Arabidopsis thaliana: one gene and its partners. The protein of the gene in region 1 purifies or fractionates together with the protein of each later gene. This does not show direct contact. Each region holds a gene or a part of one and is shown on either strand. Other genes may lie near its edges.

What was found.
Region 2: the proteins of AT2G47250 (region 1) and Hop1 fractionate together in Arabidopsis thaliana (co-fractionation; one large-scale study listed by BioGRID). This does not show direct contact.
Region 3: the proteins of AT2G47250 (region 1) and AT4G22350 fractionate together in Arabidopsis thaliana (co-fractionation; one large-scale study listed by BioGRID). This does not show direct contact.
Region 4: the proteins of AT2G47250 (region 1) and Hop2 fractionate together in Arabidopsis thaliana (co-fractionation; one large-scale study listed by BioGRID). This does not show direct contact.

The regions. Positions count from the first base shown.
Region 1 is NC_003071.7:19,398,563-19,406,371, forward strand, and holds AT2G47250 (RNA helicase family protein), read right to left. Parts: upstream 4,483-7,809; 5' UTR 4,420-4,482; coding exon 4,129-4,419; intron 4,052-4,128; coding exon 3,849-4,051; intron 3,763-3,848; coding exon 2,678-3,762; intron 2,255-2,677; coding exon 2,129-2,254; intron 2,033-2,128; coding exon 1,794-2,032; intron 1,691-1,793; coding exon 1,572-1,690; intron 1,488-1,571; coding exon 1,361-1,487; 3' UTR 1,086-1,360; downstream 1-1,085. Other genes in the region: AT2G47245 (long chain acyl-CoA synthetase), read left to right, coding at 1-12, 227-310; WRKY23 (WRKY DNA-binding protein 23), read right to left, coding at 6,483-6,915, 7,188-7,331, 7,448-7,809. UniProt on the Arabidopsis thaliana protein: May be involved in pre-mRNA splicing.
Region 2 is NC_003070.9:4,169,386-4,176,373, reverse strand, and holds Hop1 (stress-inducible protein), read right to left. Parts: upstream 4,340-6,988; 5' UTR 4,270-4,339; coding exon 3,391-4,269; intron 3,256-3,390; coding exon 2,967-3,255; intron 2,825-2,966; coding exon 2,739-2,824; intron 2,638-2,738; coding exon 2,414-2,637; intron 2,330-2,413; coding exon 2,263-2,329; intron 2,164-2,262; coding exon 2,104-2,163; intron 1,913-2,103; coding exon 1,799-1,912; 3' UTR 1,644-1,798; downstream 1-1,643. Other genes in the region: SUMM2 (LRR and NB-ARC domains-containing disease resistance protein), read left to right, coding at 1-1,499. UniProt on the Arabidopsis thaliana protein: Mediates the association of the molecular chaperones HSP70 and HSP90. Mediates nuclear encoded chloroplast preproteins binding to HSP90 prior to chloroplastic sorting.
Region 3 is NC_003075.7:11,802,119-11,810,064, forward strand, and holds AT4G22350 (Ubiquitin C-terminal hydrolases superfamily protein), read right to left. Parts: upstream 5,300-7,946; 5' UTR 4,822-5,299; coding exon 4,468-4,821; intron 4,331-4,467; coding exon 4,086-4,330; intron 3,809-4,085; coding exon 3,724-3,808; intron 3,651-3,723; coding exon 3,465-3,650; intron 3,372-3,464; coding exon 3,204-3,371; intron 3,110-3,203; coding exon 2,972-3,109; coding exon of another isoform or gene 2,948-2,971; exon of another isoform or gene 2,603-2,947; coding exon 2,431-2,602; intron 2,338-2,430; coding exon 2,163-2,337; exon of another isoform or gene 2,052-2,162; coding exon 1,955-2,051; 3' UTR 1,713-1,954; downstream 1-1,712. Other genes in the region: CDS2 (cytidinediphosphate diacylglycerol synthase 2), read right to left, coding at 1-153, 357-503; AT4G22360 (SWIB complex BAF60b domain-containing protein), read left to right, coding at 5,693-6,240, 6,546-6,657, 6,747-6,918, 7,007-7,209, 7,420-7,542.
Region 4 is NC_003070.9:23,227,701-23,234,689, reverse strand, and holds Hop2 (stress-inducible protein), read right to left. Parts: upstream 3,769-6,989; 5' UTR 3,665-3,768; coding exon 2,789-3,664; intron 2,691-2,788; coding exon 2,402-2,690; intron 2,310-2,401; coding exon 2,224-2,309; intron 2,122-2,223; coding exon 1,898-2,121; intron 1,801-1,897; coding exon 1,734-1,800; intron 1,632-1,733; coding exon 1,572-1,631; intron 1,424-1,571; coding exon 1,310-1,423; 3' UTR 1,147-1,309; downstream 1-1,146. Other genes in the region: SCO1 (Translation elongation factor EFG/EF2 protein), read left to right, coding at 1-228, 300-812, 901-1,068; AT1G62730 (Terpenoid synthases superfamily protein), read left to right, coding at 4,572-5,486; NG1 (Pentatricopeptide repeat (PPR-like) superfamily protein), read right to left, coding at 5,659-6,989. UniProt on the Arabidopsis thaliana protein: Mediates the association of the molecular chaperones HSP70 and HSP90. Mediates nuclear encoded chloroplast preproteins binding to HSP90 prior to chloroplastic sorting.

The DNA of each region.
Region 1 (7,809 bases):
GTGGATGAGAAGGTGAATTTCTTGAATGCTTCATACTAAAAATAGAGAGAACATTCTGGTCAAAATAAATTTGTATACATAACTTCGTTTCCAACAATATGCATTCTATCAAATTGGTGACAACAACAACAACTTTAATACAAATCTATATGATGTATGTTCTGGTTACTGATTAAAACTCTCTGTACATATTGTTTTATTTCTATATTTGTATGGATCGGTTTAGGTTGGACCGTATATGTGGAAAACGTACAAGGAAGTATACGAAGAAGTTCTCTTGATCGGCTCAGCGCTACGAGCTGGAGAGTGATTCGTATGCGTTTAGTATATTAGGTTACCTCAAGACTTTGTGACAGATTGTATGAAGGATTCTCTGTGATACCAAATGGGAAACTGGTTATGGCCTTTGGCCTGGTGAACTTAATTACTTAGTTGGTTATTAGGAAAATCTGAGATTGTGTGTTTTCAAGCTCATATTGAAGTTTGAATTTGCTTTGACTACTAGTGTTAGCATTCAGATGGTTGAGAAAATTACTGCAGATCTGTTTTTTTTGGGAACCTTTTTTGTTTGATAAAATACAAATGCAAGTCTGTTTACCACAGAATTCACGAGGTAGCATGATGAATTCTATTCTTATTGATGATCTGGCACTAATGAGGGCAGAGGAAGGAGTGAACTTTGTAGGACAAAGACCTCTTTCAGGTGAAAGCATATGATGTGTAATCCTTGATGATATTTCTCTAGTGGTAACAAAGTTAAAGTTTGTATCAGTTGAGACAAGAAAAAGATCATCATTCACTCATTATAAAACTTGATGGCGATATGCTTGTTTATATTTCTATTTCCGGAAATTTGAACTAGTTCTATGATAGGTGCATAAAAATCAACAATTTAATTTAAATTAATTTGATGGTTACCAAACTGCAATGGGTCAATTAAAAACTGACTATATTTGAAGGGGAAAAGCAATTCATGTTGATGGCCTGATGGGTGGGTGGGTTTGGGATGGCTGCAGAAAAGGAGGATTATTCATGTATGGTGGATCTCTTTAGGAAGGGCTGGTCAATTAGTGTTATTTAGTTGAGGAGATTGATCACGAGGACCAGAGCGAAGAGCAAGACGCTATCAGCTGGACTGAAGCTCATACTTGAGATTATCAGAAACATTGTTATATAGAGTTGCCAAACAGAGGTTTTAAAAGAACACACTTTGAGTAATGCAAGATTCTTTCATTGAACATAAACAAAGCAAAGTATCCATCATAATTTAAGACGAGGGTAAATCATAGTGGTCTTGTGACTAAGACATTCTTCTCTGAGTGATTTGATCCTCTAGTCGAAGCAAAGAGAGTGATTTTCTTCACTTCCGGTTCTTGCTCTCGTTCTTTTCCCGCTCTCTCTTCTTGTAAAGCTTCTCGAGGGCTCGTTTTGCTTCACAGTTGGGGAAGTTGGAAAGATCATAGTAATGCTGAGCAACATCGACTAACCTATATACAAGCAAAGATATTCGGTTTTTAATCCATCGGATGTTGATAAACAAGAGATAACAGGAACCAGAGATGGAAACTAACCATTCACCGCGGATATCTGTAACAGTGCGTATGAAATTCCGAGTAGTCAAGACATATTCATTGTAAATCACCCACTCTGGTTTGTGATCCAGGCAATTAGATGGATGCAAGTGAACCACCTGCCACCAGAATTTACAGGCAACCCGTCAGATGTAAGCTATAAGGATCTCTTTATAATCGGGAAATCAAAATCTGTAACAGAATGCAAAAAACAAGACATACTTGGTTATCTTTGACGGTCAAGTAATGGCCAGTGCGTTCTAGGTGAGCCACCTGCATAAAATAACCAGCAAGCATGGCCTTTCTTATGTTGACATAGTAGTCGCGGCTGTTGAAATCCGTGCTGCACATCTTCAGATTAAACCTCGACATTATCCGCACTAGCTGCTGTCTGACATTGTCTGCAGATTTCATTGCTCTGTTGTTGACAAAGTTCTCGAAACACCAGTTTGGGTCTTCATCTATGAGAATTTCAAGTGAGCAGGGTTGGTGAGGTAAATTCATTTGTCTTAAGCAGCTATAAGAGAAAAGTTGCAGATAGAGAAAAAATAACTCACTGTTTTGCTTGTAGGCGTGGTACACGTTTAGCAACGTCAGGTGATCTCCATCAATGTGTCCAAACCTAGCTTTAGCTTCATCTGCTGCTTTTTGAGCCTCTCTAGGCCGGACAAAGCAATTCGGTACTAGAGAAAGAATTGTTTTTATAACAGAATATGCCCATGGAAGAGGTCAGCAGATGCATAGAGGCGAGAGACGATACCATTTGCTTGTGAGAATACTGAGAAACTGCAACTAGATGCATCAGGTTTTACTTAGAACTCCCCAACCATGGACATGGAGACCCCAAACTAGTGACTAGTGAGCTGCTTATGACAACCTAACTCTAAGATTAAAATTGAATGGCAAACACAGACACTAGTGAATTTTAAGAAGACACATGGGATGCAGTAGATGTTCATGTGTATGACATACTTATAGATGCGTTCACATACACACAGACTTATTTCCGTAAATTCAAGTGAAGTGAAACATAGTACGCTCAAGTAAACCGACATCTATAATGAACTTTGGAGAAGACAAACCATACTTACGAGTAGAAGATGTACCTGATAACATTGCAGAAACCGAGAGAATCTCATTGGAACAGTTGAATTCAGGACTGACTATGAGCATCTTTGACATTTGTGGATCCAAGGGAAATTCACTCATTATTTCACCCGTCTTTGTCAAGTTACCTTCATCATCAAGTGCTCCCAAATAATTCAGAACCTCTAATGCCCGCATCAGTGTCTCAGGAGCAGGAGGATCCATGAAATCAAAGTGCACCAAGTCATCAATGCCAAGTTTTTTCAATGTCAGGACTGTATTTGCAAGGTTTGATCTCAATATCTCAGGATATGTCTGTGGCTGCAGGTCATTGTTGAAACTCTTCTCTGTGTAGAGCCTAAAACATTTTCCAGGGCGAGTTCTACCAGCACGACCTGATCTCTGGTGAGCACTTGCCTTTGATATTGGGGACACCAACAATGACTCAACTCGAATCCGTGGGTTGTAGACTTTCTGCTTAGCAAAACCAGGGTCAATAACATAAACAATCCCATCAATGGTTAGAGAGGTTTCAGCAATGTTGGTTGAGACAACAATCTTTCGTCCAGCAGGACCACCTTCTGTTAACGGCACTGGAGCAGGGTCGAAAATCTTCTGCTGCATCGCAGGTGGAAGAGTAGAATACAAAGGCACAACTTTGACAGGACCCACTTGATCTCCAAGATTGCTGACCTCTTTATTGATTTTACGGCAAGCATCTTCTATTTCCTCCTCTCCAGTTAAGAAAACAAGAATATCTCCAGGTGGCTCGCACATGTGTATCTGAACAACAGTCCTTATAGCAGCCTCGAGATAATCCCTCTCAGGTTCCTGTGTATAGAAGATCTCAACAGGATGAAGCCTACCAGGGACTTTCATAAGAGGAGCACCGCTAAAATATTCCTGAAACTTTTCAGCTTCTAAAGTTGCACTCATGACAACTAGCTTAAGATCAGGCCTATTCCTCAAGACCTCTTTGAGAAGACCAAAGAGCACATCCGTGGCTAGAGTCCTTTCATGAGCTTCATCGAGAATAATAACTTTGTATCTCTCTAAAAGCGGATCCGCCATTGCCTCTCTCAAAAGCATACCATCAGTCAAATACCTGTAATAACAGGAGAGAAAGGTTATGATCAGAACAGAAACGTTATAAAGCTGAGAAGCCAAAGAAAGAAGAACAAAAACACTCACTTAAGCATAGTACGAGAGCTAGTACAATCCTCAAAACGAATACTGTAACCAACTTCTTCACCAATGGAGACATCCATTTCATCAGCAACACGACGAGACACAGACATTGCAGCAACTCTACGAGGCTGGGTACATCCAACCAACCATTTCCTTCCCTTATCGGAGTTGTCAGCCACCACAGCATCTAATACAAACTGTGGAATCTGTAGAATACAATGAAATGTTATGTTGGATCACACTAAACACTAATTCCAAAATCGAAATTGAAAGCTTGAGCTACCTGTGTAGTTTTACCACTACCAGTTTCACCGACGAGTATGAGAGTTTGATTAGAGTTCAAAGTATTGAGAAAGTCATCTTTCTGGAGCCAAACGGGAAGATCTCTCCTCTTCTCCAGAATCTCGAAATACCTCTGAGAATAAGCCTTTCCGTTCCATTTGTTGATCAGATTGCTTCCACCACCAGCCGCCGCCGCAAGTCCGAGACCATTGGATTTGGTGTTCTTCGACGAAAGAGAAGGATCTTCCATAACATCGAACAAACTAACCTTCCGTTTTCTCTCTGTACCCATTACGAACGAACAAAACGAGAGACAGATAGATTTTAGGCTCAACGATAAGCAGCGGCGCGAGGACTTTTCAGGTTAACCCCTTTTGTCTCTTTTGATATTTGTTTTAGGCACCAAGGCCCGTTAAGTTCCCTTGTGGGCCGACCTATGTATGTAAAGCCCATGTTTCTCTGAATATATTTTTCTGACTCTCTCATTCTTTTTTTGTTTGTTAAAAAGTAAAAACACTAGCATTTTGATTATTGATCACAAAGAACCTCTCCAGCCTCCTCTTACTTTGACAAGGATGGATATGGTACAATAGAAAGAGAAAAAAACACTTACACCACTTAAACAAAATACAACAAAAAAAAAAAAGTGGACTGACGCAAATAGAATTAAGGGTATCCTTAAGCATTGCATTTGCAATACGAAGTGCATAGAAAGCATTTGAGACTGCGAATTTGATCGTCACTTAATTCGAAATTTACTACCCCAAGGTTGAGTTTGACATCAGGGTTTGAATACCTTCATTGACTTCTTCTTCTTTAGTAGCTATTGTCGTTTTGATTCAAAACTGCTAAGGTAAAATAAGTATTTCTTCAATGATATTGTTACGGCTTGAGAGTCTTTTGGATCTAACAAATGTATATTGAAAGTGGAATAAACTTGGAGACATGATGAGCAAAATTGTTAGTTGTTTTCTTTGATACAATGGGTCTCTTAAGTTTGTCTTTTAGTCATTTACTTTTAAGCCATCGAGAGTTTTGGTACGTTTGCTTTCGGTTGCATTCGTGGCTTTGTTTGGGACAATGATTATGTACCTTCTTCGGTTAGGGATTATCACTCACCGTAAAGGTCAATACAAACATACTAAAGCCAATGGCGTTGCTATGCACTCACTAGACAAAAAGACAAAAAAGTGATATTACCTCATAAGATTGTTTTTCCTTCCTTGTTCTGTTATGTAGAACATTTTCTCACACACACATGGCTACAAAAGTAACAAAAAGAAAAAGGAAACAAAAAAAGTTTATTTGCATGGTAACTTGTTTCTCTACTTTATTCTCACAAGGCCACAAGTCTATGCCCTTTGGGGATGACACAAAGCTATGATTGGTATTTGCTCTGTTTCACAACCATTTTAACCAAACCCTTTTTAAAAGAAGACTAAAATTAGTGAAGAGAGTGACAAATTTTTCTCCTTTGTTTTGAATTTTTTTTTTTAAATAATTGAAAATAGCTAACAACAATAACACAGTGCATACGTCTTTATTCTTCACCGCAGTGTAATCATGAAACAGCAACAAGAACAAAAGGGGTAAATAAAGTTTTAAAAATAAATAAGAGAAATCATGAAGGGTCGATAGAAACATAGAGAAGAGTAGGTAGAAGTAGTTGGGTTTATGCTTCCAGTTTCGCATTAATTTCCTCTTTAGTTATCTCGCTTAATTAATCTTGTTGATTACTATGAAACTAGTTAATTTTTCCAGATTCCAAGACATATATCGAAGCGAAACAAACAAAAAACAATTAACTGACTGTGTATTTGACTAGAGAGAGATTGATTAACCTGAAACCCTAGAAGGCTACTATATTAGAATCATAGATCAAATAAGTTTTCAATTAAAAAAAAAAACACGAACTACAAAGCCTAGCTTTGACATAGTGTTCATGCAAAGCCCATAACAAATTTTAAAAGACGACCATTGTTGTAAATCGCCTACGATCAGTAATTTACAAAACGACAAATTATTATTATGCGATTAAGAAGTTTTTGCCAATCCTAATATTTACAAAATCATGTTTACTAGTCCACATATTTTTTTTAAGAATCTGGTGCATTTTTGTGTTATAAATTATAAGTTCACACATTTATAATATAAGTTCACAGTAAATAAAAATTACATTTATAGTGATTCAATGGTGAAAATCACAAGTACTTTCTCGGCTTGGTACAATCATCATTACCTTACGATTTCAGAACCATAAGAAAACATCTTCTTCATCAGAACAAAAGATCCGTTTCTTTTAGACAATTATACAAAAAAAAACTAGATTAAAACTATAAGACTATATATATACTACTACTCTTCCTTCAACATATGAGACGGAACAACATCTTGCAGAAGTCCATTATCTTTAACCAAAACTCGACTCTTCTTCACACGATTATCATCACCATACTCATTAGCGTGGCTATTAAGGTACTCGTTGACTCCTCCAAAACAAGACATGAGTTCTTGTTGCTGCTGTTGGTGATGGTATTGGACAAGCTGTTGGAACTGAGGAGAGATTAACGTGGAGCCATCAATAGGAAACCCAAAGCAACCATTACCGAGACTCGAAGCAGCTCCTGACGATCCGAAGAAACCTCCAGTGGAAATAGGACGAGACGTGAGTGGACTAATGTGAGTGTGTTGACCTTCGTAGGTTGTAACCACAGTGCTTGGATCTCTGAATGATCTCTCCACTCTCTTCTTCACGTTACATGAAGCCGTTGTGCAACGGTAGTAACTCCTGCAAACGAAACACCATTTACACAAAATCAACTTTGGTTCACAATTAAGTCTTTCTTTGGACACTGTAAACAGTAGTAAATTTAATTAGTAAACACTAACACCCAAACATTAAGAAACAATGGGACAGTGCTAGATCCAACAAATTAACATAGTGCATGTACCCAAGAGCAAATCAAAAAAGAAGAAACAAAACAACAAGGAAAAAGATTTGATTTTTCTTCTTGTTGTTGTAAAACTATGGTCAAAGGATATGGATATATTTGCTGATACCTGGGAAAAGGACTGTTTTTGACAGCTTTTTGACCATATTTTCGCCAGCGATAACCATCTTCGAGATGATCAACTTCACTCTTTGTCATGAATGCGACTCTTGCCTCTCTCTGTCTCTTCTGATTATTCTTCTTTGCTTTCAACCTGTTCATTAAAAATGCTTTCTTTAGGATACTTCTTTTTTTTTTTGTCTCTGAGACTTTTTATCGAACAGCTTCTGGACTCAACAAAAAAAAAAGTGAGAAATTTTAAGAACTCACTGTTTCTTAGTATGACTCTTCTCTTGTTGATCTTCACCTCCTTCTTCTTCATTGTCTTCTGTTTTCGGTTTCTCTTCATTTAGAGCCTCGCTTGAAGCAGACGAAATCGATGACGAGTTAGGAGTCGCCGGTGGGTTTATCAACAAATGATCCGAACACAAAGACTCCACCTTTGACGTCACTAATTGCTCTGACGGTGGAGCTTGAATGATACTTGAAGACAGCTTCGCCGATGGTTGCGTTTGCGTTTGCGGTTGAGACGTTTGGAGAAGGAAGGAATGAGGAGAAACAGTAGCAAAGTCTTGATGCTGCTGAGAACTTAATAACTCCATGAACCCTAAAGAATGCCTCTCCGCCGCCGC
Region 2 (6,988 bases), on another chromosome or scaffold:
AGTATAGCTATGATAATTTAAACAAGGAGCAGGTGAAACCATGTTTCCTATATTGCTCTCTGTTTCCTGAAGATTATCGTATGGAAAAAGAGAGGTTGATAGACTATTGGATATGTGAGGGATTCATAGATGAAAATGAAAGTAGAGAAAGAGCATTAAGCCAAGGTTATGAGATCATTGGTATCCTTGTCCGAGCATGTTTGTTGTTGGAGGAAGCTATCAATAAAGAACAAGTTAAAATGCATGATGTGGTTCGGGAGATGGCTCTATGGATTGCATCTGATCTTGGGGAACATAAAGAAAGATGTATTGTGCAAGTCGGTGTTGGATTACGTGAGGTACCGAAAGTCAAGAACTGGAGTTCTGTGAGAAGGATGTCGCTGATGGAAAATGAGATTGAAATTTTATCTGGCAGTCCCGAATGCCTGGAACTTACAACTCTGTTCCTTCAGAAAAATGATTCATTGCTACATATCTCGGATGAATTCTTCCGGTGTATCCCAATGCTAGTTGTTTTGGATCTATCAGGGAATTCAAGTCTCCGGAAATTGCCTAACCAAATATCAAAGTTAGTCTCCTTGCGTTATCTTGACTTGTCGTGGACATACATTAAGCGGCTACCTGTCGGTCTACAAGAGTTGAAAAAGCTCAGATATTTGAGATTGGATTACATGAAGAGACTTAAGAGTATTTCAGGGATATCAAATATATCAAGTTTGAGGAAATTGCAACTTTTACAGTCTAAAATGTCGCTAGACATGAGCTTAGTGGAGGAGTTGCAGCTATTAGAACATTTAGAAGTTCTAAACATAAGTATCAAGTCAAGCTTGGTAGTGGAGAAGTTGTTAAATGCTCCCAGGTTGGTGAAATGTCTTCAAATCTTAGTACTTAGAGGAGTTCAGGAAGAATCATCCGGAGTATTGACTTTGCCAGATATGGATAATCTCAATAAAGTCATCATAAGGAAGTGTGGAATGTGTGAGATAAAGATAGAGAGGAAAACTTTATCATTATCATCGAACAGAAGTCCCAAAACTCAATTCCTCCATAACCTCTCCACTGTGCATATAAGTAGCTGTGATGGTCTGAAGGATTTGACGTGGTTGTTGTTCGCTCCTAACCTCACTAGTCTCGAGGTTCTGGACTCGGAACTAGTAGAAGGAATAATAAACCAAGAGAAAGCTATGACTATGAGTGGTATCATTCCTTTCCAGAAACTAGAGAGTCTACGCCTACACAATCTAGCGATGTTGAGGAGCATCTACTGGCAACCTCTGTCTTTTCCATGTCTGAAGACAATTCACATAACGAAGTGTCCTGAGCTGAGAAAGCTTCCATTGGATTCTGAAATTGCCATAAGGGATGAAGAACTTGTCATTAAGTACCAAGAGGAAGAATGGCTTGAAAGGGTTGAATGGGACAACGAAGCCACAAGACTCCGTTTCTTACCTTTTTTCAAGTTCTTTGGACCTGAATGGCAAGTTAGTTATGTGCGGTAGCAATTTGTAGAGCTGAAGCAATGAAATGATTCAAATTTTGTGAATGACAAAGTCGTTGTGTATTTAGCCATTTGCTCTCTTATGCTCCAAATGGTATAGAGATGTAAAGCAACATAACTTTAAGGATCGCAGTAAATGTTATATCAGAAGAAAATATGATTGCAATTTGTTCGGAACACAACGTCAGTAAACATGGGAAATCAGCCGGTCACAAATCTAGAATTGTTGCAGATTGCAAAGATATAAGAGAAAAAATGAATCTGCCAAAACGGATATTCGATGTTTCAACTCTTCTGAGTTTATTTCATCTGGACGATCCCAGCGCTAATAAGCTTTTGAATCTTGTTCATAACCATTGGATTTTGCATGTGCTTCTGTGCTGCGCTTGGATTCTCTTGAAGATCAGACAGTACCTGTTTGGAAGAAAGGTTTTAGAATGTTAAGAGGTATTATCACATGCAAACTCGAACCAACACGTAAAAACATAGTTAGATCTATCTAGACATCTCACAACAGAGTAACATTGGTAATAAGAAACTCGATTCAAACAAAAATTGCATCATACTCATACAATCACAATTTACGACAGAGTTTGTTTATTTACCTGTCTCATTACAGGATCTGTGAGGATGTTCTGGATTTCTGGGTCTTGCATTCCCTTTGCCTACACAAAAGAAAAGGAGAAATCCAAGTTAGCTTCCCGGGTTTTCTTTCAATCACAAATGGGGGGAGAAAACATGAGAATCATCAGAATGTAACTAACCTGTCTCTCTTTCAATTCCTCAGGAGTAAGGTCTCCGCGATTAGCCTTGTTGATTTGTTGTACACATCTGCAGAATAGATTTGAACCACATTAAACAAATTCATGGCAATAGATAGAAAAGTTAATAATCTCTGTGTATCTGTGTATATACCTTTTAACACCGTCAAGAAGTTCCTGATTACTAGGATCATGCTCGAGACCCGCTTGGTATGTTTCCATCGCATTGTCGTACTCTTTGAGGAAGAATTGGACTGCAGCTTTTCTGCTGTATCCTTTAGAGAAGGTTGGATCGAGCTCAATACACTTTTCTGCATCCTTTAGTCCTTCAGGCATTGCACCTAGCTTAGTGTAACTAGCAGCTCGGTTGCTATATGCCTAACATAGGTGCAAAAAAAGTACGAGTTGCTCAAACAGTCGGAATAGAAAATCATTGTAGAAGACCTTAAGAACATATAAATATGATGAAGTGCCCTTACTTTATGGTCATTTGGGTTCCTTTTGATTGCTTCGGTGTAATGTTTTATGGCCTCAGGATACTTCTGCTCCTTGAAGAAATCGTTACCTGTATTAAATACACCACAACAGCAGCAGTAAAAACGCTAATTCATTCTTGTTTTCAGGGTTCTATAAGCTTTCTTTTCCCACACACACACACACACACACACACAAAAAAAAAAAAAGAGACTAATTGCTAAAGCAATCACCTTTTTCACGCTCTTCATCCCCTAGCTTAGGATCGAAATATTGCTTCTGTTCCCACTCTTTCTTTGCTCTTTCCGCATCGTTAAGTCTCTTCAACGTATCAGGGTTACGGTGCTCTGTAAGAGCCTTCTGGAAAGCTTCAATGGCAGGTTCATAGTCTTTCGAGCATTTGGCCATCTTAGTCAAAGCAGTCCCTTTTCTAGTCAAAGCTCTAGCTACCATCTTGTAATCTGACCTAAGCTCTCTACCCCTTTCCACAGCCTTGTTACAATCCTCAATGCACTCATTGTACTGAATCAAAACACAATGACATTAAAAACTAATCACCATTGTAGCACATAACAAGCAAATCATCATTCTAGGCTTCTAGCCTATCAGCAAATAAAGGGACAAAACAAAAGAGCATTACACATATGAAAATCATACCTTTCCCATCTCAAGATAAACAGCAGCACGATTTGTGAGGTACGAGATGTCTTCATCATCAATCTCAATAGCAGTAGAATAATGCTGAATAGCAGTTTCAAAGTCCTTCTTTTTATACGCAGCATTCCCAAGCTCTTTCTCCTTTTTAGCTTTCTCCTTCCTCTCTTTCTTCTCCTTCTCCTCTGTCACCTCCGGTTCCGGTTCAGGCTCCGGTTCTCTCTTCTTCTCAACCTCAGGCTCATTACTAGAACTCTGACCCATATCAGACTCAGGAACCTCAGCCTCATCTCCCTGAGGCGGCGGTGGCCTAAACTTAACATTCAATAAAACTCCAAGAGATTGCATCACTCTCTGATCCTTCAAATACAAATTAAGACTGCTAGGATTCTTCTGAATCTCCTGCATCATGTTAACAAAATCCGGCTGCTGCAAAAAGCCTCTAGTCGAAGGATCAGACGTAAGCTTCGTCCACATCTCCGGTCCTTGAAAAGCATCACCAAACGGATTCGGTGCAGCTCGTGACCTAGCAACAGACGCCTCCGCATCAGCCAATCCAGATTTCAACGCCTCGTTAGTCGGATCGACATCTAAACCTTTCTTATAAGCAGTGACGGCTAACTCAAACTGGTTTAACCCTAAATGAGCAGCACCGAGACGGCTATAACCTTTAGGCCAATACGGTTTGAGTTTAATCGTCTCTTTCGCATCGGAGAGAGCTTCGGCGTATTGATGAAGCGACGCGTGAGCAGCGGAACGGTTTGAGAAGAGGACGTGATTGGTTGGAGCAAGAGCTATGGCTTCGGTGAAGTGGTTTATAGCCGTGGTGAAGTCACCGGAAGAGAAAGCAGCGTTTCCTTTAGCTTTAGCTTCTTCTGCCATTGTTTGAATCTGAGATTTTTGCAAGTCTCTGCAGCTTCTTGGGAGACTACTCTCTATAAGAAAAGAACACTTGTTTGGGGTTTTGAGAAATTGAGGGACTGTTTGGATATGAGGATAGAATTTGTTAGTGGATATTTGTCCGGGTTTATAATTATCCTCGTTACGTTTAATAATAAAGAATCTTATAAAACGATGTCGTTTTGTGTTGTCGTGGAAATCCCGGTTATCAGCAGACCCACGATTTATTCACCGGTTCCATTGTTTAGAGTTTCATTTCTCCGGTTCGATTTTGTTTTTGTATTCACTTGTTCTTCAGTTCATTTAAGAAATAGTGAAAGCTCCTGAACTGATCTCACTTCTAAGTGAGAACTGTTGCTTGAGATTGAATTTGTTTTCATCACCCATTTCTTGTTACCAGTCTCATAGCATTTTTCATCATTATGATACATTTCTTACTTGTGATTTTCTTTGCTAAGGAGACATGCATGTTTTTAGTAATATGGAATCATAGTTACAAGCACCTGGATTAAAGAAGACAAGAAAATCTTGAGGTCAAGTTTTCTTTAGCTAAATACGTTCGGTGAAGTTTGTCTACGAGTATAGAGTTTTGTTATCGTACTTTTGTTTACTTTTGTTTACTTTTGTCTACAAGTTTTCTTACTTTTGTTTTGGGGTTGTGTGTGGACTGTTTGGATACGAGTATAAAATTATATTGTATCTTAAGAATAAAATTACTAAGAAACGGTGTCGGTTTTGTACTGTCGTGGAGACTCCGGTTATTGGTAGACCAACGATTTCTTCTCCGGTTCGATTTTTCTTTTTGTTACTTGTTCGTCAATTTCGTTCAAGAAATAGTGAAAGCTATTGAGTTGTGTATTTCACATGTAAGCTCTTGAGATTGAAATAAACTGCATCGACCATTCCTGTTACCAGGCTCATATATAGCATTTTAAATAAAATCAAAATCAAAATCGAAACTGCAAAATCAAAATCATGGCTTATTTAATTTATTTTCAATACACTTAATTAAAAGAAAAAAATGTCGGTGTATATAGACACATCATGCTTAGATCTAGAGAGTTATTTTCATTATCTTTTGTTACCCTCTTTATTTTAATATGAGTCTTTTTAAATTTTTGTTCATTAATTTCTTTATCTTATGATTACTACTATAATTTCGTATTATTGTTCCGAAGAAGACATATAAACCAAAATGCAATCATATCTCCCATTTCCATTTACATCTTACATTCTCTAAAGCATATATAAACGAAAATATAATAAATGTAACTTGTAATAATTTGACACACGGCTTGAGCTGGCCAACTATGAAATCATGAGGGTCGTCGTCGATGTGCATATTTGTTTCTGCAAAATGGCTGACTTTTACACTCATACATACTCATACAGTCAACTCAAAATAGAATTCAGTCTTTCTTGAAATATCATCTATAGGTTGACAATTAAACCAGTTTGTCCAAAAAAAAAAGGTTGACAATAAAATCATATATATAAAGTTTATAAACCATATGCATGCTTGCTGTTGAATTTGACCCCAAAAAAACCCATATATATGCTGATTGATGTTCCAAAAAATTGTTCCTATGAATTAAAAAAACAATTCCGTTCAAAAAAATTTAAATTTCAGATATCTACTTGTCACTGGGTTTACTGTTTATCTCTTGAATTGGGTAATAAATTTATAATCCAAACTGTTTAAAGGTCATTATTAGTTGAGTTTGTTGAGTTAGTATTCGTCGATTTGAAATCTTCCAGTAATTTTTCGTATTCAATGATTCATATCGCATGAAATAATTAGTCGTTTGGTGCATGGTATAGTGATTAAAGCCATGCATTTAGACTATTGTTACGTATAATTATTAATGATAATTAGCTTACTAATTATTATGGATTTAAGAAAAAAGTAATTATTAGAATTTTATGTGCGCTTATTTATTGAATAATATAGATAGTGGTGGCCCTAAATATTATTTACTGGGGCAGAGTACACTTCAAACATAATTTTTTTTGGTAAATTATTTACAAAGTCAACTACAACTATTACCTCAAAAAATTTGTAATACCAAATATATGATTTTTTAAAATTAATTTTTTATTTTATTTGAAACAAAGTCTTTAAAATAATTAACATGACCTTCATAACAAAAAAATAAAAAAAATAATTAATATATTTCACAATAATCAGCATTTTTTGTTTACATGCAACATTTTTTGTCTCGCATATATATATGCATCATTTAAAACTACATAGAACTTATTTTCGGAGATTGGATATCTAGTAACTTACTAGTAGTAAGTAGTAACACATAATACAAATAACCATTATTGATAAATATAAATGTCACAATGGTGTTACTTAGTCCGGGCTCGTTTTGGCAATTGGCATGGAAATGACGCCATGAGATTCTATGGATCGATCCATCCAGATTTTGATCTTGTTTTATAAACATTCATATTTGATCTGATCATTTCAGTTTTGTGGCCATTCAGAAAGCAACTTCAGGCATATCTATAACAACAAAACAAAAAAAAGCGACGGGGTGTAAATGTGTAATGGATTTGGTCTAACCAGACTCAAATCTAAGAAAATTGGTCATATATGAATCGGTACTGAATCATCTGAAGTTGAGTATTTTTCTCAAAAAACTAAAAAGTTCGGCGCTATGTAACCCTAAAACTAACGAGCCGATTTGAAACA
Region 3 (7,946 bases), on another chromosome or scaffold:
GGCTGTAATGTAGAGATGACCCAGGTAAACTATAAGAGCAAAACCACCTATCATCCAGAAAGTGGAGTATGCTCGAATGAGAAACGATTTGTATTTTTTGCTGTCATTGACAAGTAAATGGTTTCCATTTGGTTTGCCTGCCCCTGCACCAACCTAAAAAGCCAGAAATTTGATTGAATTTACAACCAAAATGAAGCAAATAAGTAGCTTATGTACTCTTAGAATAGCTTCTACATCACATAAGTAGAAAAGGACCAAATAAATCCTTATACAACAAAAGCAACTTAACTAAGCCAAAAACAATGTGAATTCCGATTTAATTTGACAGCTAAAATATTGAATAATGGCAAACATACATCGCTGTTTCGCTTCCGATGCCGAACACGAGTGGTTGGTGCTGATGGAGCATCACCAGCAATTTCCTTCTGCATGTTGGAAGAGTTCGAAACAAAAACACTGACTACCTGTGAAAATTTAAAATTGAACTTGAGTACATCTAGCATCACCTTAGTCTAACGTCAGAATACAAAAAAAAGATAGAAAGACTCTGGCAACTAAAAATCATTGATAAGCCAAAAAAAAAGTCGAGTAAATTTAGAATCAATTTGCAAATATAAGTAGAAAACTCATCTGAATCAATCAATGACATGTACTTATATCAATAACATGTACTCCAAACTCTCTCACCAATAAATGCTTTTATTAAAACACGGAAACAAAATCACCAGCATTCTAAACAATTTGAAGCTTGTACTCTCATAGGTAGTTGAGCAACCCAAACAAAAAACCATCCAATTGATTCATTGAAACTCTTTAATAACACTCAATATACAACAATTCAAACTTGAACTTGATAAATTCCCCATAAGTAAACGCTCTCAGTAGGATTTTTCACTCAAAATTTTATTGAATCTAAAGCAATGAACATAAGTGATTCACAGAGAAATACAATTAAACAGGAAAAATGGGACAAATACGAGTAAAATCGGGAATAAAACCCAAATTTAAGCAGCCGAAATACTTATGGAAATACTGGAAATCTTCACTAATGGTGTCAGTAATCACACGAGCTAAGGAGAATAACAAAGAGGAACCAATACTAGTTTCTCGTGGAGATCTGAGGATTGAGGAGACGAAACACATATCTAAACAAAACTATGTACATATGATTCAGGAATGAGGTAAATAAGGAAGAGACGTGAAACCTGCTTTCGTGAGCTCAGTTTCTACTGTGCCAGAGCGAGAGAGAATGAGAAGACGAGGAAGAAGATGGAGCAGAGAAATCGAGTTGAAGAAAACTAAGTAGAAGACGAAAATGATTCTCCTTATTTCTCGAATCTTTTAACTTTTGATTCTAGAAGCCACAATTAATAAAGGGATATAATATTTTAATTAAAGGTAAAGGTCCTCCTCTATATTAACTTGAAATGACAATTAAAAATTCGAGAATATTATGAACTCTTTTCTACAAAGTTGCAAATTGTTACCTTGTTATGTTCAATGCTCATAATCTTCCAGAATTGGTTAATGAAAACAAAAAAAGAATCAATTCTTTTTTTGGACGATGGAATAGAATAGAATCGCCAAAAGTAGAGATAGTGAATTAGATTCTATTCCTCTTTCATTGTTACAAATAAATTCGAAAAACAGCCACTTCTATATTAAGGGAACTCACATGTGTTTTTTACTACAAAATTTCAAAAGTTTGAGAATTTGAAGAGGTCGCTTTCTTTCAATATGCGTTTTTAGTTTTTACCAAAAGCTCTTCCCAAAACTCATATATGTGTTTTTTTACCAAAGGTTTTTCACTATGATACAACAGGCTCTCTATCCTTTAAAGGGGTCCAAAAATCTTTTTCCAAAAGAGTTGTGAAACAAATCTCTAATCTCATTCCAAGATAAAACTGGTCACTTTTACTCTTAAACCAAATGAAGTCAGTTTCTTTCCAGGGCTCTATTCTTCCTGCTGCTCATATATCTGCATGTATGCTTCCGATAGTTCTACCATCTGGGGAAGTGTCTCTGCAACATGAAGATCCTGCATCTCGTACCTGCAATGGACATTATCCCCCAAATGAATTTATATCTTTCTTATGCACAGATCTAGATCATGCATTTGTGAACATGAAACACAATAATAGTTAATGATTGAGAAAGCTTACCATAGTTCTTGTGACTTGCGCTGCACAAAGACTCTGAAGTACCCGTCCTCAGGCTTACCATCATGTACAATGTTAGCGATTAGATTATACTTTGAACACACATTCTCCCCTTCTGGTGCTCTAGGCAATGATGGTATGTAATCCCTCAGCTCCATGTCCTTCACTGGGAAGTTAACTGTGGCATAGAAAAAGAAATTGTATCAAATTAACCAGGTATTAGGGGATCCTTATACAGCATTAACGTCACAAAAATTTCAAACAGACTCACCCAATGTAGGGTTCTTCTCTTTGAAGAAGTTATTCTTCTTGAACCGAACCATATGGAACATCAAGTAACGAGGAGATTTGATTACACGGTATCTCATTCTGGCCAGCTTAGGCCGAACCACCTCTGTCACCGTTTCTCCATCAAACTTCTTCAATAAATCGAATAGAGCAACCTGACCCAAAAATCAAAGAAATTAGATTCCACTAACCTCACTTTGCAAACTAAACACTCTAAGACGCATATACGAGGTAGCAAGCCATAAAGGCTACAGGAGCTCCAAACAACCAATGAGTCAGAGAATTCTACACTTTCGCAAGTCATGAACTAGATTCGAAAAAGAAAGTTTACTCCAGGACATTAAATTGGCAATGGCACTATTTAAGAATCCCTTAATTGTATCTCAACCAAATGTGACATTATTTATGTAGCTGTATATTGAGAATCATAAGTTTTCTAGCACTCCACGTTATCATTTTTCTGAAATGCATTTTTTTAATGGCACAAAGTAGCAAGACTTTCAAGATTTGAAATAGCCATATACCTGCGGAATAATGTTTTTCTCCATGACATCTTTGAAAAGAGGAGGCGGTGGCAAATCTAGCCCAAGCATCAGAAACGGCATCCTGGAGATTTCTTTGTTTTCATTGCCTTGATACTCTTTCACAACCTCCAACTCACCCTGTAATGGTTAACAGGTTACATGAGATACAGCTTTTTTGTAAGAAATTATATCAAACTGCATTATGTTGACATTTCAAAGGACGGACACATACCTGGAAGCACTTGTGGATGATACTGCTAGCGTCCTTTGAAGTTCTAAGATCCATGTGCAAAGTGTTGAGGAGCCACGACATAAACTCTACTGGATCTGATTGTTGGCCAATCCTAAAGCGTTTCTTGCTGGCTTTCATGACAGCTTGCAAGAACTCATGTGGACTCACCTGTTGATGCAAGGTAACTTAAATTAGCGAGGTCCTCAATAGGTGAGTGCATAACAAAAACTAAAAAAGTGAGAGGCATAAATTGAGTCAGACTTGTCCTTTAAAGTTTCGAGCATGCCAAATCTTGCGAGTTAGTTCCCCAAAACGGTGACCAAGAGGAGACTTGCAGTGCTGATAATTTTCAGGAATGAGGAAGAAATTCCTTAGAGGAGTAACTCTCATCAACGACTGGATTGTAACATTCACAAACTCTGTCTTTTGTATGTTGTTCAACCCCACCTACATATTTACAAGCTTAACCTTTAGGAGACATTAATTTCAAGATCAAGTGTAATCAAAGAGAAAGGATTACCATTCCTGGAAGATAGTCGGAGCCATCAAGAGCCCTAGACCACTGCCTATTCTTGTCAAGCTCGTTTACTTGTGCTCTACTAAACCTGTAAATGGATAGCACCGAAGCCTTCATACAAAGGAACTGAAAAATCAAAGAAAAATTGACAAAACATGAAAGAAGAGTAATATGTTCAAGCTATCATGCAAAAAAATATAAATAGATGGTAGATGATACAGAGAACTAGTAAGAAGAAACTGATTGAGATAATAGTCAAAGCAATTTTGTTGTTGTTAACTACGTGCAAAGGCTCACATGTTCACAAATCAATACCCAAAATGCAGTAAGAACTATGATGTAGTTAGTCACAAGATCTAATATACCTTGGGTTTAAAACATGGCGAATGTCATCCAAAGAAGGGTCATTGATCTCGTAACTATCAGGAAGACAATAAACCTTCTCTGTCAGAAGATTGATGTAAACGTGGTGTCCTGCTTCCAAGCTATGTGTATAAGCATGAGACTTCTGGCTTCTTCCTTGAAAGTACTTCCCACAAACAAGACACGCATACACATTCAGATTTGACAATGAGACAGAGCAAAACCTCTCGAAATCAAAATCCAACACCTGAAATCAACCATAAGATATGAGTTTAAACGCTAATCTCAAACCAGCAATATAATGAACCTAGCAGAAGCTTAAAGATCCACCATAGATTAGATACATTACAAGTACCAAACACAAGAAATTGGTCAATGATATACCTGACGATTAACAGTATCAAGATAAGGACAATCACGACGAACTTCAACATGGCGTGAATGCTTTCCTCTCCCCTTCGAAGCATCATCATCATCATCTTCGTCGTCATCGACCTCTACTTGAGCTTCTCCTTTCACTTTGTTACCATTTCCCTCTCCTTTCGCAACTACATTACAACGAGTTTGCGATTTATTCTGCTGGTTATTATCATCATCGTAAGCATTAGCAAACGGCAAAAGAGGATTGTTGAAACCTAGTGGTGGAGGTGGCGAATCAGACCGTTCCATCACTCTCTTCCTCTTCACCTCTCTCTCTTCCTCAGAAACACCATTCTTCACTTCTCTTTCACCTTTCATTCTCAAAATTTTCCCTAAGCTAAAGCTTGCTTCAAAAACCTTAGAACACAAAATCCCAGCGATTCACGAAGAATCCTCAACCAAAGAAGCAATGAACTCTTCCAAAAAACGCCAAATACTTCAAATCAGAAGCGTCGACAGTCGCGAATCTACTCGAACTTATCTCTCGTTCCCAATTTTCTCGAGAAACTTCAAAATCCGCCACAACGCAGACGTTAAACAAACAACCTATTAAAGCTTCAAGAGCCGACTCAAGTCTCACCCAGATTGATTAACTCGGTTAAAAGGCCGAATATTTATTATTGGGCCACACTGTTATAGCCCAATAACAATCTGTTCCATTTATATTACTTCTGTCAGCAGTATTCAGTAATTGATCTGTATTCACGATCCGATACTTATCGAATAACCATTAATACCCTCAAGCTTCTCGAAGCAAACTATAAACGCGTGAAAATCTACAAGGACGTATTCGACATTCCACGAGTAAAGAGATGAGTTCTGAAGTTAAAGCCAGCTGGCGAAGAAGTAAAAAAGCAAATAGATTAGCCAAAATACGACAACACCCTCTACCTACAAGCCATAGATACCATGACTCATAAGGGCAACACCGACATTTGTCATCATTTGATAAATCTAACCAACCCTGAAGGGCATATTCGTCTTTCCAAATAGTTATAAAGAGACAGAGACGAAGAAGGAGAGAGAGAAAGAGACAAGATTAGAGAAGAGGATAAGAGAGAGAAAGATATAGAGAATTTGTTGTCTTTTTTTCTTTTTCTTTTGTGGGGTATTTGTTTTTTTTTTTCTCCTTAAAAAGTTTTTTTTTTTGTGTGTATGAAAAAAAAAGCTTTGAAATTCTCTCTCGACAATGGTGTCGGACCAGGATCTAGCGAAAGGAGTCGAGACTTTGCTTCGACAATCCGACCCTAGCTCTCTCACATCGTTAAGCAGTATTGTTCAGCAGCTTGAAGCTAAGTTAGGGTTAGACCTCACGGAGAAGACGACTTTCATCAGAGATCAGATCAATATCCTCCTCCGTGCTCACCAAAACCCTTCTGCCTCCGTCGCCTCCGCTTCATCCGTACAACAATCTCACCCTCCTCCTCCGCCGTCTTCTCACCAGCAGCAGAATTTGCATTCCGGCGTCAATGTTCCTCCGATGGCGAAAGGGCATTTCACACTTAGCCATCCTTCGCAATTCTCTGTTTCTTCTCAATCACAACAATATCCTTCACATTTCGCTCTTCAGCCTCCTTATCACTCTTATGACCTAAATTTCCGGCAGCCTTATCCGGTTTACATGCCGCCGCAACAGCACCAGCATCAGCAGCAGTCTCCGCGACAACAACAATCCTCTGTGATGCTCTCACATGGCGGGAATGCTTCTCTATCTGTTAATCAAGCCCCAAAAGAAAGGTAGGGTTTGCAACATATTTCAAATGTTGGTACGTAATTTTGCTCAAGGTTGTTCCAATTTCAGTAATTTAGGGCTTTTGCTACTTTCATGGAAAACATGATTTTCCATTTTAGGAATGTCTAAATCTTTTGTCAATTTTGTTCATTTACGGGTTTTTAGGTTTTACATGCTCATGTTTAGAATTATCATCCTGTGATATTTTTAGCACATTGATTCATACAACGTTCTATTATAGTGTGATTATTTCTTTCTGATCTACCTAAATTTGGCACATCAACGAAATTTGTCAACTTTTCCTTTGCAGTGCTCCGGCTGGAACTAAAAGAAAGGGTGGTCCTGGAGGACTAAACAAAGTCTGTAGGGTTTCTCCAGAACTTGAAGTAGTTGTTGGTGAACCTGCTCTTCCTAGAACTGAGGTTATCATTGTCTTTCATTTATGATTATAATGTGTATAAGCAATTGTGGTTGTTATTTATGTGTTGCTGTGTTTGGCTTTTGGTTTTAGATTGTGAGGCAATTGTGGGCTTATATAAGGAAGAATAACCTTCAAGACCCGAGTAACAAGCGGAAGATCATCTGTGATGATGCGTTGCGTGTGGTTTTTGAGACTGATTGCACTGACATGTTCAAGATGAATAAGTTGCTTGCTAAGCATATTCTCCCGCTTGATCCATCAAGTAATGGTTAAACACAAGCGTTTTTTGCTGAGTTCCAACTGTGCTTGGTTTGTTCAAGGTTACTGACTGTTTGAGTCACTTTTGGCAGAGGACTCTGGTCAAGCAAAAAAGGCAAAAACTGAGGTGGAGACTAAGACTGAGACCACCGAGCCTATTAGTTCAACTGCTATTAGTTCAACTGTTACATTATCTGAGCCACTTGGTAAGTTCTTTGGCACTGGTGAGACGGAGATGGCAGACGAAGAGATTATTCGCCGTGTTTGGGAATACATAAAACTCAACAATTTAGAGGTAATGATTTTAATCTTGAAATCCTCTGGTTTCTCCTTATTGCTTCGAATTTTTTTCCTGTTTGCTGCTAACTAAAGCTGGTATTGTGGTTTACTCTATAAGATAATTTACAGTATAGGATTTCACATAACTTTATGTTATAGAGCATAGTGAATGGCCATAAACAAGAAAATTAAGATTTGTTTATTCTGCTTTTCAATTTTCTTTCAGGACCCAGTAAATCCAATGGCTATTCAGTGTGATGAAAAGCTCCGAGATCTTCTTGGATGTGAAAGCATTTCAGCTGTGGGGATAAATGAGATGCTGAGGCGCCATATGTACAAGCAGTCGTGATATCTTCTGGTCTGACTTAATTAACTAGGAACTACTAGTGTAAGTGAAGTTTGATTTAACAGATTATGATACTTATATATCAGCATTGTCCAAATATGGTAATTGACTTCTGTATCACAACTCTCTTGCAGGTGTGTATCTAGGGAACCTACTTATGACTCCTTGCTGTAGAACTCTGATAGGGAAGAAAAGATCCTTTTCACTTTTAACTTCCTTTAATGCTATTTTAATCTTCCGTTGGGTTCTTTGTTTTAGTTGGTTGTGTATCGACATGCTTAGGTTGATGTTGTATTTAGTATTGTACCGAAACTCTAGTGTTAAGGGTGAAACGGCGCAGATGTTTTGTATTAAACGCCATTCACCCATGAATGTCTTAGGAAAAAAAAACTCATGTGTTTAACTAT
Region 4 (6,989 bases), on another chromosome or scaffold:
CCCGTTGTTCTTGAACGAATGGACTTCCCTGATCCCGTCATCAAGGTAGCGATTGAGCCAAAAACAAAAGCAGACATCGACAAAATGGCGACAGGGTTGATCAAGCTCGCTCAAGAAGACCCGTCTTTCCATTTTTCTCGTGATGAAGAGATGAACCAAACCGTCATTGAAGGAATGGGAGAACTTCATCTCGAGATTATCGTTGACAGACTTAAAAGAGAGTTCAAGGTAAAACATAACCTATAAATCTAATTCTCTACTTCAAGCTTCCAAGCTTCTAATTCCTTTTCATCTTTCAGGTGGAGGCTAACGTTGGTGCACCGCAAGTCAACTACCGTGAGAGTATCTCCAAAATAGCTGAAGTGAAATACACACACAAGAAGCAATCAGGTGGACAAGGTCAGTTTGCTGATATTACAGTCCGGTTTGAGCCATTGGAAGCAGGGTCAGGATACGAATTCAAGAGTGAGATCAAAGGAGGAGCTGTGCCAAGAGAGTATATTCCTGGTGTCATGAAAGGACTTGAGGAGTGTATGAGCACCGGTGTGCTTGCTGGTTTCCCGGTTGTTGATGTCCGTGCTTGTCTAGTTGACGGATCTTACCATGACGTAGACTCAAGCGTGCTAGCTTTCCAGCTTGCTGCAAGAGGAGCTTTCCGTGAAGGGATGAGGAAAGCGGGTCCGAGAATGCTTGAACCTATCATGAGAGTTGAAGTTGTTACACCAGAAGAACATCTTGGTGATGTCATTGGTGATCTTAACTCACGAAGAGGTCAAATTAACAGCTTCGGAGACAAACCCGGTGGTCTCAAGGTATGTTTTATTCAAAATGATCGAAAAAACCCCTAAATTGTTAGATGATGAAATCTGATTTTGACATTGTTGTTCTTATTATTGTTAGGTGGTCGACTCTCTGGTTCCATTGGCAGAGATGTTTCAGTACGTGAGTACATTGAGAGGGATGACAAAAGGTCGAGCTTCTTACACAATGCAACTGGCTAAGTTCGACGTTGTTCCTCAACATATTCAGAACCAACTTTCATCCAAGGATCAAGAAGTTGCTGCTTAAACAGATTTTGTTTTGCCTAGACATAAAAACTTATTGTGATTTTGTTTGGTCTATATAGACATGTAAGCTAATCAAATTTGTGAAGACAAGGTTGTTATTGTCTTAAAACGCATGGATATGAGAAAGAAAGAAAAATTGATATATCAGAAAAGTCTGAAAAATGAGAAGAATTCGATCTTAGTGTTTGGAGTTATAAAAGAGTAATGACTCAGCAAAATCGAAATCAATGTCTTGGCTTCGTTTATTTCATCTGGACGATTCCTGAGCTGATAAGCTTTTGGATTTTGTTCATGATCATTGGGTTCTGCATGTGCTTTTGTGCTGCTGCTGGATTCTCCTGGAGATCAGACAGTACCTGTCCAAAGAACAAGTGTTAGATTTTGGTGAGACATATCAACATGGAGATAGCTCAATTTCAGTTTCCAGGATTGCTCCGAGATGTTTGATCTAAACATAGAGAGATTTGTGAATTCTAACATCATCTATAGAAGTGTGTTCTTTACCTGTCTCATTACAGGATCTGTGAGAATGTTCTGAATTTCTGGGTCTTGCATTCCCTTAGCCTGCAATAAGGACGAAAGCAAATCCCAAAAGTTTTAGTTTAAGATCACAGGTTTCTCTTAAACCCGTAACAAAGCAGTTTCAAAGCAGTAATAGAATCTAACCTGTCTTTCTTTCAATTCCTCAGGAGTAAGGTCGCCACGGTTTGCCTTGTTTATCTGTTGTACACATCTGCATGGTTTAAAACATGTTACATAAGCATATTGACATTACTAGATAACAGAAGCGAATAATCTCCCCGTGACTTAACACCTATTTATATAAATACCTTTTAACACCATCAAGAAGTTCCTGGTTATTAGGATCATGTTCGAGACCCTTCTGGTACGTTTCCATTGCATTGTCATACTCCTTCATGAAGAACTGGACTGCACCTTTTCTACTGTATCCCTTTAAGAATGTTGGATCGAGCTCGATACATTTCTCTGCATCTTTTAATCCTTCGGGCATTGCCCCCAGTTTAGTGTAACATGCAGCCCGGTTGCTATATGCCTATGTGACGAGCAAAAAAGTAAACAAGTTATTAAAACAGTCAAATACGGAACTCTTTTTGAGCACAACATTGAAGGATATATGATGATGAATCCGCCTTACTCTCGGGTCTTTTGGATTCCTCTTGATCGCTTCAGTGTAATGTCTCACAGCATCAGGATACTTTTGCTCCTTAAAAAAGTCATTACCTGTGTTACAAAGATGTTAGTTCAGCTACATTTACTGAATTCTAAGAGATTCTTCCTCGCACAAACAGCACATACAATTGCAAAGTATATACCTTTCTCACGCTCCTCATCACCGATATTAGGATCATAGTACTCTTGCTGCTCCAACTCTTTCTTTGCTCTCTCTGCCTCATTCAGTCTCTTCAATGTTTCAGGGTTACGATGCTCCGTAAGAGCTTTCTGGTAAGTCTGAATCACAGGTTCATAGTCTTTCGAGACTTTAGCCATCTTCCCTAAAGCAGTTCCTTTCCTAGTCAAAGCTTTAGCCACCATCTTGTAATCAGACCTAAGCTCTCTACCCCTTTCAACAGCCTTATCACAATCCTTGATACACTCATCATACTAAAACAAAACACATAGACATTAAGACTCATAACCTAACCAAAGCAAATCACTTTAGACTAGCACACAAAAAAAAAAGAACACTTTGAAAACTATACCTTTCCCATCTCTAGATGAACAGCAGCACGATTAGTGATATAAGAGATATCTTCATCATCAATCTCCATAGCTGTAGAGTAATGCTGGATTGCAGTTTCGAAGTCCTTCTTCTTATACGCAGCATTCCCCAACTCTTTCTCCTTCTGAGCTTTAAGCTTCTTCTGCTTCTCTTCTCCAAACTCCGGCTCAGGCTCAGGCTCAGGCTCAGGTTTTCGTTTCTTCTCTACCTCAGGCTCCTTCCTAGAAGGCACAGCCATCTCTTCCTCACCAATCTCCATATCATCACCAGCCTGTTGAGTCCTGATTTGAATATTCAACAAAACTCCAAGAGCTTGCATAACTCTCTGATCTTGCAAATAAAGATTAAGATTACTAGGGTTCCTCTGAATCTCCTTCATCATATTAACAAAATCAGGCTGTTTCAATAACCCTCTAGTAGAAGGATCCGCCGTCAATTTCGACCACATCTCCGGTCCCTGAAAAGCATCACCAAACGGATTGGGCGCGGAAGCGCGTGACCTAGACGCAGAAGCTTTCGCATCAGCTAAACCTGATTTCAAACCTTCGTTACTTGGATCAATCTCAAGCCCTTTCGAATACGCCTCCACGGCTTCATCGAACTGATTTAGACCTAAGTGAGCAGCACCGAGACGGCTATAACCTTTTCCCCAATCTGGTTTAAGTTCAACAGTCTTCTTCGCGTCTGAGAGAGCTTCGTCGTAGTGATTAAGCGATGCGTGAGCAGCGGAACGGTTTGAGAAGAGAACGTGATTGGTTGGTGTTAGGTTGATTGCGTCGGTGAAGTGATTAACGGCGGAATTGAAGTCACCGGAGGAGAAAGCTGCGTTTCCTTTAGCTTTTGCTTCGTCCGCCATAGTTGAATCTGAAAATTTTCTCTTGCAGGTCTTCTCGTTGCTTCTGGAAGATACCTTGAGGGGCTAATGGGTTTTTGGCTTTAGGCGAATAAATACGAGTGTATATATATTTGTTCGATATAAGAGTGTTTGGTTTCGGGTTAATACTATCCTAATCACGTTTATTCATTAAACAGTTCTTTACATAAAAACGTCGTCGTGTCATTTTATAACAAAACCGACTTCCTGTTACACTGTAGCAGAACCGACGTCGTGTAATAACATTAGTGGTTTTATATTAATCGACGACGTATTTCTCTACATTGACCCAACGCTTCTTCTCCGGCACGATTGTTCAGAGTTCGATTTCCATTTTCGGGTCGAAAGGTTGATTTTATTTGGATTTTGGATGGTAGATTCAGTTCCTAAACATAGGAAACTTGAATCTCAGAGTTTTTCGAGTTAGGGTAAGGTGTTTTTTGCTCGTTTCGTTATTGTTGGACGACATTAATGGTTTCCAGCGATTTTACATTACTAATTGGAAAGTTTCTGTGAACTTTAGTGATCTCATTTGTTATCCATGTGTGATTATTGGGTTTATGATTGTGTGTTAAGCAATGTTGAAAAGTTCTCATTTTGTTTGTTAAATACCAATTCCAGTGCTTTGTCCACCAAGTGTTTGTGTTAATTCCTGAATGAGTTTAACGGTTCACAAAACCTCTGGATTAGTGAGAATTATTCAGTATATTTATTTGAAGTGGTGATAATTGGAGGATTTTCTCTTGTGTTTGTAGATGAATTCTGTGTTACTGTTTTATAATGGAGTGATAGAAGAAACCAGAGTTTTTCATTGTTTTTATGAACTGATCTTGTTTGTGGTTTATATGGTTGTAGGATAAGAGAAAGAAACACAGTTGGAGTTATACTGATGAATGGAGGAGGCTCGAGTAGTTTGCGTTCAGCATTGTCCTATTGTGTGCAGCAAGTACGAAACTATGACTATCATCACTACCTCTGTCTCCTTGAACTCCCAACTGAGATGCGTAAAGCAGCATTTGCTCTCCGGGCTTTTAATGTAGAAACCGCAAGAGCCATGGATGTTGCATCTGATCCCAAAATCGGCTTGATGCGGTTACTTTGGTGGCAAGAAGCAATTGACAAACTCTACACCAAAAAGCCCATAAACCATCCAGCTGCACAAGCTCTGTCTTGGGCAATATCAGAACATAACATCAGTAAACCTTGGCTAAAACGCTCAGTTGACGCTAGAATCCGAGATGCCCAAAGAGAAGTAGACGATATACCAGAGAGCATTGCGGAGCTAGAGAAATACGCAGAAGACACAGTTTCCACTCTTCTGTACAATACACTCCAAGCAGGCGGAATTAGTTCAACAACAGCTGATCATGCAGCTTCACACATTGGTAAAGCCAGTGGTCTTGTCTTGCTGCTTAAATCATTACCGTACCACTGTACCAGAAACCGTCACCAGAGTTACATCCCTGCAGATCTCGCTGAGAAGCACGGGTTGCTCGTGAAACAAGGTGGACGATTAGAAATTCTTCTGGATAACGATTCAAGAGAAGGACTAAGCAATGTCGTGTTTGAGATTGCATCTGTTGCCAATGCACATCTCCTGAAAGCCCGTGAACTGGCGGGAAAGGTTCCTGCAGAAGCTAAACCGGTACTGCTTCATTCTGTGCCGGTACAAGTTCTTCTGGATTCGTTAAATAAAGTACAATTCGATGTGTTTGATCCCAGGATTCAAAGAGGAGTTCTTGGTGTTCCTCCACTCTTGTTTCAGTTTAAACTCAAGTGGTATTCATGGAGAGCAATGTTTTGAAAACTTGTCTTTATCTCCCTTTTCTTGCCTCTTTTATTTCTGGTTTCAAAGACTTTACATTAAACTCCAGCTTACTTGTATTTCTTTTGTAATAATACAAAATTACAAATGGTGATGAATACAAAATAAAGAATTTGTTTTTTACTTACAAATAATATACAGTTTTCATATGTTATAATGGAAGAAGCCCATCTTCTTGCATTTTTCTGTACAACAAATCTGATTTATCCCATTGGCGTTTCCTACAAAAGCCTGAGATCATCGTAGTGTAGGACACAACATCAGGCTTAAGTCCTTTGCAAGAAAGGCTACGAAACAAGTCCCACGCATCTTCAACATTACCAATCTTGCACATCCCGTGAATGACGATATTATAAGTAGTAATATCAAGTTCTATTTCACTCTTTTGCATATTCTCGAATAACACCAATGCTTTCTCTACCCTCCAGTTCATACAAAGCCCATACAACAAAATGCTGTACGTCCTAATATTGGGACGAGAATCCATCCGACTGAAAATTTCTTGCGCCGCATCTGGTCTACCCGCTTGAAAATAGCCCTGGATTATAGTGTTGTATGTGATAGTGTCACCAACTAATCCTCTTTGAGCCATCTCGCGGAAGAGTTTCGTTCCTTCATCAACCCTCTTAGACTTGCAAAACCCGTTAATGAGAGTATTATAAGTCACTACATCGGGGAGACAACCCTTAGTTACCATCAAATCAAGCATTTGTTTGGCCTCATCTACCCGACCGTGCATACAAAGACCGTTGATCAACGAATTGTAAGTGAAAACATCCGGATCTACACACCTTCGTGTCATCTCCTCGTACAACTTCATCGCCTCCGAAAACTTCCCTTCTTTCACAAACACATCGATCACCGCAGTGAAAGTAATGACATTAGGAACAATATCCCTCATTACCATATCTCTCATTAGCCGAGCTGCATCACTCCATCTACCAGAACAACAAAGACCGGCCACAAGAGAGTTATAAGTAACAGCATCAGCTCTAACCCCATCTCTTTCCATCCGATCAAACAGCTCCACCGCGTCATTCACCAACCCGATCTTACAAGAACCGTCGATGATCGTGTTGTAGATAACAACATCTGGTCTAAATCCCATTTCCTCCATTTTACTAACCAAATCTATAGCATCAAAAACTCTATTCCCTTGACAAAATCCATTAATCAAAGAACTAACCGTGACAACATCAGGCTCGTAACCAAACTTCATCATCTTCCCAACAACAGATAAAGCAATAACAAATCGAGAGCATCGACATAAACAATTAATCACAATGTTGTAACTATAAAGATCATGACCAATTCCACAAACTTCCATATGGTGAAACAGAGAGATCACAAGATCGTAATTCTTCGATTTGGCGATTTTACTCAATACTTTACTGAAATCAACTATTGAAGGAAGAGGACGAGATTGAATCATTTTACAGAACAAATCAATTTCTTCTTCTAAATTCATACTCGATCTCTTAG